Tribolium castaneum: one gene and its partner. The protein of the gene in region 1 binds, or shares a complex with, the protein of each later gene. Links are inferred from orthologs where the notes say so. Each region holds a gene or a part of one and is shown on either strand. Other genes may lie near its edges. The genes, in order: unc-45 and Hsp83.

Region 1 (4,334 bases):
TCAGGATCATGTCGATGTCTTTTTTGTTTTTTTGCACAAGTTCTTGGTCAGGTTTGCTGTCGGTTTTGTTGTCCATTCCTGAAAAAAGTGATTGGTTTTTTGCAACGTTTCGACAACGGCTGTTATCATCTTCAATAAGCTTTAAATGTTTTAGAAAATAGTTTCAGGTAATGGGAATGAGTTACGACGGTATCATTCATGATCTTGAGGAAGAAAACATGGACTTATATAACTTCAGAAGAATATGAAAAAAGAGATGATAGCAAGGAATAATACAGAAAATATGGTCGAAGAAATGGGAATTAATATAGACTGTGCTATTACAACTATTAAAAGTATATTGAAGCAGAAACATATACGAATATTTCAAAGCAATTAAGAAGTGGAATAAGAACAAAAGACGCCCTGAAGATAATAGGATACTAAAAAGACTAAAACAATAAGAAACCAAAAACAAAAAATCTAACAAAAAAAAAGAAAAGGATGTGGAATCATCCTGAAAAAGCAATATAAAGCTAAAATTAAGGACAGCAATGTTCTTATTCTTATGTGTACTGCTGTAATAAAGAATGAAAGAAATAACTCTAAAGTTATTTGGATAAAAGGACAGTCCTCTAGAGTTTTTTTAACGTGCATGAAAAGGCTAAGAATTATAATTAATCAAACTGAAGAGTACAACAATAAAATTTCGAAATTTCGAATTTTTCACAAAGAAAAAAAAACCGCCTACTCTGATTATAAATTCAAATGATCGCATGATGCTTATGCAAATGGATAGTTTAAAAAATTTTCGAACTGTATTTACATTTTTACAGAAAAATGTAGAAATAGGAGATAATACAAAACAAAAGAAGAAGGCAAAAACTCATTTGAAAATCTAGAGAGAAGAAAAGAAGAAAATTGCCTGAATGAACAAATAGAATTAAACTTTATGAATATCTGAGAAAAATCACAAAAAATCGCCTATTTTAATATAAATTTAAATAATCGCATAGTACTTATGCACATGGGTAGTTTAAAAATGTATAGAACTGTATTTAAATATTTAAAGACATTTGAGAAAGATCTGGGAGAACATGATCTAGAGAAGCAGACAATAATACAATACAAAAGAAAAAGACGAAAAATTGTTTGAAAATTATAGAAAAAGAAGAAAATTACGTGAACGAATTAAACTTTGAACCAAATTTCCATTTTTCTTAGATTTATTTTTCTAAAAGGGGAACTGTTCAAACCTAACGCTTTATTAATATCTGAGAAAAATAATAATGATCGCATAGTACTTACGTATATTGATAATTTAAAAAATTATCGAACTGTATTTAAAATTTTAAAGACATTTAAAAGAGATCTGAGGGAAACAGGCAATGATACAATGCAAAAGAAAAAAAAACACCTTTGAAAATCTATAAAGAAAAGAAGAAAATCTTCTATGAACAAATAGAGATAAACTCTGAGCCAAATTTCCACTTTCTTCACATTTTTGTTTCTAAAATAAACCAAATGGCTAAAGAAGATTCGAAAACAAGTATTTTTATTTAATCTTCAAACGTAACGTTTTATTAATATCTGAGAAAAATCGCAAAGAAAAAAATCGCCTACTCTAATTATAAATTCAAATGATCGCATAATACTTATGTAGATGGATAATTAAAAAAATTATCGAACTGTATTTAAATTTTTAAAGACATTTGAGTAATATCTAAGGAAGTATCATGATCTAGAGGAACAGGCAATAACACAATACAAAAGAAAAAGATAAAAACTCATTTGAAAAAATCTATAAATAAGAAAGAAGAAAATTTTGTAAATGAACAAATAGAATTAAACTTTGAGCCAAATGTCCACTTTAGACCGAATGGCTAAAGAAGCCACGAAAACAAGTATTTTTATTCTATCTAAAAGGGAAATGTCCAAACGTAACCTTTAATTAATATCAGAAAAATGACAAAAAAGTGACTATTCTAAATATAAATTCAAATAATCGCATAGTACTTATGTAAATGGATAATTGAAAAAAATATCGAACTGTATTTAAATTTTTAAAGAGGTCTGTGAAACATCTGAGGGAACATGAACCAGAGAAGCGATAAAAACTATAATTTAGTAAAAATAAAGTAAAAAAGAAAATTATTTTTAAGCCGAATTTTAAAACAAACTGGCGAAAGGAGATACGAAAACAAGTATTTTTATTCAATTAAAAGTGAAACGATATATTTTAGACCCAACATTTTATTCGTACCTGAGAAAATATTGAGGATTTGTTGGATGCAATACTGCGCTGCGTTAACTTGCTGTTCATGATTCGAGTCCAAAATTTCCAAAAACCAGGGGATCCCCACATCCTTCATAACACTTCGTGTCTTATCCACATTATGCTTACAAAGCTCGCCGATAATTCGTATACCAGTAACACATATTTCCCGATTCTTCTCCACTTTAAGCAACTTCTTAATCTGCTGAACAACCGGCGATTTAATCATAAGACTCGACCCCGCATTTTCCCTCGCAAGCACCAACAAATTATTCATCGCAGTCTCGCGTTTCTCCCTATCGGCGGCCAAATCAAACGCCAACTTCGTCATACTCTCGATCTTAGTGCTGGTCTGGGCATTTTCCTTAACCCGTTCCTGGACAATACGATACAATCGCTCCAAAACCGGCTGAATCGTCCTATTATTGGGGTCATCCTTGAAAATCTGGGTGGCGTCCCGATAAGCCTCCTCAAACCGTTCCAGCGCCTCCAAGGCCTGGCACCGGCGGAACAGCGCCTTGGGGTCGCGGGGCACTATCTCCAGACTGCGGTCGCAGTCGCTCAACGCCTCCTCAAACTTGCCCAACTTCAAATAGGCCGCAGCCCGGTTTTTGAGGAACACGGACAAGTCCCGACTCTCGCTCGTCTCCAAGTTGATGGCTTTGGTGTAGAGTTTGGCCGCCGAGTCCCAATTGCCACTTTTGAAGGCCGCGTTGCCTTCTTCCTTGTATTTTAACGCTTCGGGTTCGCCCATTTTGGGGTTATGTGCACACTGTTTCACTTGAGGTTGTGACAGCGTGGCCACATGCCGTATTTATACGGTTTGAGTCGAAGTTTCTGGGCTTTTCGAGACGCGAGAGGAATTTTCTAAATTTAAAAGGCTATTTTTGGACATTTGCCAGGTTTGAGGTTAGGTTCAGAGGCGGTGCCATAAACTAATTTTAATGCAATAATCGCATCAATTATTAGTAATTAGACAATTAAGGCGCTCACGCACGACTTGGTCACAGTTTTGGCACGGTTTACGCGCCCACAACTCCAAAATCTTGCTTTTTGGGGCACAAAATTACAGGTTTCTGTCCTGTCAAACTGTCAAAGTCTGACGTTACTTGTCAAAATTTGGCAAATAATTGTTTTGGTTTGAAATTGGCTGAGTAAAGCGTGACAGAATGGTAAATTTCGGTGTTGTTGCTAGTATTGCGTGCTATTTGTGTTGGCAAGTTTCAGTTTGGGTTCAACATGTTCCCGGAGATCCCGAGACCGTTCAACATGATCTACCAGTGCCACTCGGTTGCCATGCTGCCGGGGAACGAGCGCCAGGACGTGGAACGCGGGGGCAAAAGTGAGCACGTCTAGTGGCTTGTTGCGCGATTCCAGGCCCTTTGTTCCAGTAATCATGCCGCCTTCGGCCCTGGAACAGCTGACTCGTTTGAACATCAACTACCCGATGTTGTTCAAGCTCACGAACAAGAAGACCAACCGGGTGACCCACTGCGGGGTGCTGGAGTTCGTGGCCGACGAGGGTAAGGTGTACCTGCCGCTCTGGATGATGCAGAACATGGTCCTGGAGGAGGGCGATTTGGTGCGAATCGAGAGCGTTTCGCTCCCAGTGGGGACCTTCTCCAAGTTCCAGCCGCTCTCCCCTGATTTCCTCGACATCACGAACCCCAAGGCCGTGCTTGAGAACTGCTTGCGCTCGTTCGCTTGTCTCACAACCGGAGATGTGATTGCGGTTAAATACAACCAGAAGATTTACGAATTGTGCGTCCTTGAGACGAAACCAGGCAACGCGATCAGTATAATTGAGTGCGATATGAACGTGGAGTTTGCGCCCCCGGTGGGCTACAAAGAGCCGGAGAAGGTCAAGAAGGAGGATGAGGAGATGGCCGTGGATCCGGCTGATCTGATGCCGGAGCCGACCGGATTTGTGCCCTTCAAAGGCACGGGAAATCGATTAGATGGCAAGAAACGGAAGGATTCCGGGACCAGTGACGTCGTCAATTGTAGGGCGGCGTATGTGAGGGGGATCCCCAATTATGATTACGAAATCGGGACGTTGAGGTTCATCAGGCGGAGCACC
Region 2 (4,486 bases), on another chromosome or scaffold:
GCTACTATTTTCCAAAAATGCGGGAAGAGGTAGGAAAATATATCAATCGATGCATTAACTGTTTGTATAGTAAGACACCGCGCGGGAGGCAACCGGGAATGCTGCACCCGTTAGACAAAGGCAGTACTCCGTTTCAGGTGGTGCATATCGACCATTTGGGCCCTTTTCCGTCAAGTAAAACAGGAAACAAATACGTATGCGCTATTATAGACGGCTTTAGTAAGTACACAGTATTAAAAGCGCTGCCGGATGTAGGAGCCGAGGGAACTCTTAGTTTTTTGAAAGAATTCGTTTCTAATTATGGAAAGCCCAATAAAATAATTAGCGACAGAGGTACAGCGTTCATTTCGAAGTTGTTCGAAAAATTTTGCGGTGATTGTGAAATCCAACACGTAAAAATTGCAACAGCAAGTCCTAGATCGAATGGACAAGTGGAGAAAGTAAACGACGTGATAATAACATGCTTAAGTACAAGTACGGATGACATAGAAGGTAGTGATTGGGACGAAAAATTAAGCGAAGTACAATGGGCTATTAATAATGCAACCCATTCGGTCACTAAAAGAACGCCTTTTAGTTTGGTCCGGACATACACGCGAGACGGGTTCACTAATAATCCGTTAGCAGCCGAAATACGCGATTTAAATACACGCTTAAATACGGAAGAAGAGCAAAATTTAGTTGCGGATCGGCTGAAAAGAAATGCGGATCGTATGTGCGCGAATTTTAATAAATCGCGGCGTCAGGCTAGGGTTTTCAAGCAAGGGGATTTGGTGTTGGTACGGGCTGAGGTACCGTCGACCGGCCAAAGTCGTAAATTGAGCCCTAAGTATCGAGGACCCTATGAGATTGTTAAATTTATAGGGAATGATAGATATTTAGTGCAAGATATAGAAGGCGAACAACAAAGTAGTCGCTTCTATAAAGGAATTATTTCTGTAGACAGATTAAAATTAGTTAGTAATTTAGAGGAGTAATAATTAAGATAAAGTAGGTTGTACAAGTGTTAAGGGTAATGTTAAATTTTTATCGGAATTTTATTATTAGAAAAATTTGGGGACATAAGTAGAGTGTTTAGTTTCGTTATTTTAAGTTATGGTAAGTGTCATTAGGGGAATGAGTGATTAGATGGTTGGGATGTGTTCTCGAGGACGAGAACATTGTCAGGAAAGGCCGAGTTGATATGAATTCGTAGAATTGTAAGGGATGCTTGGGAGGTCCGAATGGTTAGTGTGTGTGAGGGCTTTTAGGGCGAGTGTGAAAGATGGGAAACATGTGTTAAAGATGAATGCCGAATGTCTGGATTTTTAGAAAATAAGTTAGTCTGTAACTGGCTTTTGTAGAGTAAAGTAAAATTAAAAGGTCCTGTTGAGAAGATCGTAGTTTATTTACCCTATAATCCTGACGTAATAAATTATAAACTATAACACAAATAAAACGGATTTTTCTAGAAAAATCAATAACGGTATTGCAGATTTCGAATTTCGCGCCCGATTTAGCGGAAGCAACTCATGTTCTGTCCTTGTCTATGGAAGGTTTCGAAGCGTCGGAAAGCGTCTAGATTCTTCTCGAATAATCTAGAACGCAGAAGGCTATAAAAGCAACCGAACAAACACGAATCGCTCAGAGTTGAAAAAGCAAGCGCTAAGTGAAGAGCTAAGAAGCGACAAATTTTCCAAGTGATAATTTTCCCAAAGCAATTTTCAAGTGATTTGTTCGTGTGTGCATTAATTTAAGCAAGGTAGGTGCAAATTTTCCGATTTTCCGGCCGTTTTCAGTCAAGGTTATGTCACGCCGGTGTTTGACCCCCAAGTCTGGGAAATCGTACGTTTTTCGCTAGGCTGCGGTTATTTGAGACGAGTTTATTAATCCTTTGACTATTTTTTCGAATTTGAAGACCGTTTTAGAGTTTTCCCGTTTTTTGTGTGGTTTTCTGCCAAGGTTATTCAGAGCGGTCTTTGACATTGCTACGAAATTTAATCAAATTTTCCGGACTTTTCCACGTTGTTCGGTGTCCGATTAGTCATTTTTTAGTGATTCATGAGTTCGGTGAAATTTCAAGGTCGAATTTAATTGCAGATGCCGGAAGAAAACCAAAATGGAGATGTGGAAACCTTCGCCTTCCAGGCGGAAATCGCCCAGTTGATGAGTCTGATCATCAACACCTTCTACTCGAACAAGGAAATTTTCCTTCGGGAGTTGATTTCCAATTCGTCAGATGCGTTGGATAAAATCCGTTACGAGTCCTTGACCAACCCTTCCAGACTCGATTCAGGCAAAGAACTCTACATCAAGATCATCCCTAACAAGAATGACGGGACCTTGACCATTATTGACACCGGGATCGGGATGACTAAAGCCGATTTGGTCAATAACTTGGGCACCATCGCCAAGTCCGGCACCAAAGCCTTCATGGAGGCCCTCCAAGCTGGGGCTGACATCAGCATGATCGGTCAATTCGGTGTTGGTTTCTACTCGGCTTACTTGGTAGCAGACAAGGTCACAGTCGTTTCGAAGAATAACGATGATGAGCAATACGTTTGGGAGTCGTCAGCTGGTGGTAGCTTCACTGTAACACAAGACCGTGGCGAGCCTTTGGGCCGTGGCACCAAGATTGTCCTTCACATGAAAGAGGACCAAACCGAATTTTTGGAAGAACACAAAATTAAAGAAATTGTAAAGAAACACTCGCAGTTCATTGGCTATCCCATCAAATTGGTCGTGGAGAAGGAACGCGAGAAGGAGTTGAGCGACGATGAGGCCGAAGAAGAGAAGAAGGAGGAAGAAGGCGAAGACAAGGATAAAGATAAGCCAAAGATTGAGGATGTAGGCGAGGACGAAGATGAAGACACGAAGAAGGAAGATAAGAAAAAGAAGAAGACTATTAAGGAGAAATACACAGAAGATGAAGAATTGAACAAAACCAAGCCGATTTGGACAAGAAACGCTGACGATATCAGTCAGGAAGAATACGGAGAGTTTTACAAATCGTTGACTAATGATTGGGAGGACCATTTGGCCGTCAAACACTTTAGTGTTGAGGGTCAATTGGAGTTCCGTGCCCTCCTCTTTGTCCCACGTCGCGTTCCATTCGATCTTTTCGAAAATAAGAAGCGCAAGAATAATATTAAATTATACGTGAGGAGGGTTTTCATTATGGACAACTGCGAAGAACTCATCCCCGAATATTTGAACTTTATCAAGGGTGTCGTCGATTCGGAAGACTTGCCTTTGAACATTTCCCGTGAGATGTTGCAACAAAATAAGATCTTGAAGGTCATTCGTAAGAATTTGGTCAAGAAATGCCTAGAGTTGTTCGAGGAGTTGGCCGAGGATAAGGACGGCTACAAGAAATTCTACGAACAGTTCTCGAAGAATATTAAATTGGGTATTCATGAAGACTCGCAAAACCGGGCCAAATTGTCCGAATTGCTCCGTTATCACACTTCTGCAAGTGGCGATGAGGCTTGCTCTTTGAAGGACTACGTGAGCCGCATCAAGCCTAACCAGAAACACATTTATTACATTACTGGCGAAAGCAAGGAGCAAGTGGCGAATTCGTCGTTCGTTGAGAGGGTCAAGAAGCGCGGTTTCGAGGTCGTTTACATGACTGAGCCCATTGATGAATACGTCGTACAACAAATGAAAGAATTCGACGGCAAAACTCTCGTTTCGGTCACAAAGGAAGGTCTCGAATTGCCTGAAGACGAAGAAGAGAAGAAGAAGCGCGAAGAAGACAAAGCCAAATTTGAAGGACTTTGCAAGGTTATGAAGAGTATCCTCGATAATAAGGTTGAGAAGGTCGTGGTATCGAACCGTCTAGTCGAATCTCCCTGCTGTATTGTTACGTCGCAGTATGGCTGGACCGCCAACATGGAACGTATCATGAAAGCCCAAGCTTTGAGAGACACCTCCACTATGGGCTACATGGCGGCCAAGAAACACCTCGAAATCAACCCCGACCATTCAATCATCGAGAATTTGAGGCAGAAGGCTGAGGCTGATAAGAATGACAAGGCTGTTAAAGACTTGGTTATTCTTTTGTTTGAAACCGCTTTACTCAGCTCTGGGTTCACCTTGGATGAGCCTCAAGTCCACGCATCCAGGATCTACAGGATGATCAAGCTGGGTCTGGGTATTGATGAGGAGGAAGCCATGATCACCGAAGATGCACAAGGAGGCGATGCACCCTCTGCTGATGCCGCCGAGTCCGAGGACGCGTCGAGGATGGAGGAAGTTGATTAAGTGTTCGAATGTTAGGACATGTGTTCTAGTATGTTCTAATTGTCATTCCTAGTGTTTTTTTATATTTCTTAATTATTTTTATAAAAAATGAAGTATTATTTTGGCGGCCTACCGCCGCCGTGTTAACACCTGTAAAAGTCTGAGTTCGTTTTTTGTGAATAAAATTGATTTAATTAATTTCTTGGTTTTATTTGAACGCCTTTAACAAATAATTGTTGAAAAGCAAAAAATCCATCACAAA

The links.
Region 2: the proteins of unc-45 (region 1) and Hsp83 are in contact, whole or in part, in a crystal structure (PDB 4I2Z), measured with the Caenorhabditis elegans proteins. The link is inferred for Tribolium castaneum from reciprocal best matches to the Caenorhabditis elegans genes unc-45 and hsp-90. Residues at the interface, in NP_497205.1 of Caenorhabditis elegans: Arg12, Asn16, Val19, Tyr31, Val48, Arg51, Asn52, Met55, Lys59, Val81, Lys82, Phe85, Arg86, Asn113, Asp114, Ile117; in NP_506626.1 of Caenorhabditis elegans: Ser696, Arg697, Met698, Glu699, Glu700, Val701, Asp702.

Annotation. Positions count from the first base shown.
Region 1 is NC_087401.1:16,175,241-16,179,574, reverse strand, and holds the start of unc-45 (protein unc-45 homolog B), read right to left. Parts: upstream 3,009-4,334; coding exon 2,243-3,008; intron 79-2,242; coding exon 1-78. Other genes in the region: Ufd1 (ubiquitin recognition factor in ER-associated degradation protein 1), read left to right, coding at 3,476-3,596, 3,646-4,334.
Region 2 is NC_087398.1:3,475,660-3,480,145, reverse strand, and holds Hsp83 (heat shock protein 90), read left to right. Parts: upstream 1-1,633; 5' UTR 1,634-1,741; intron 1,742-2,079; coding exon 2,080-4,245; 3' UTR 4,246-4,422; downstream 4,423-4,486. UniProt on the Caenorhabditis elegans protein: Molecular chaperone that promotes the maturation, structural maintenance and proper regulation of specific target proteins involved for instance in cell cycle control and signal transduction. Undergoes a functional cycle that is linked to its ATPase activity.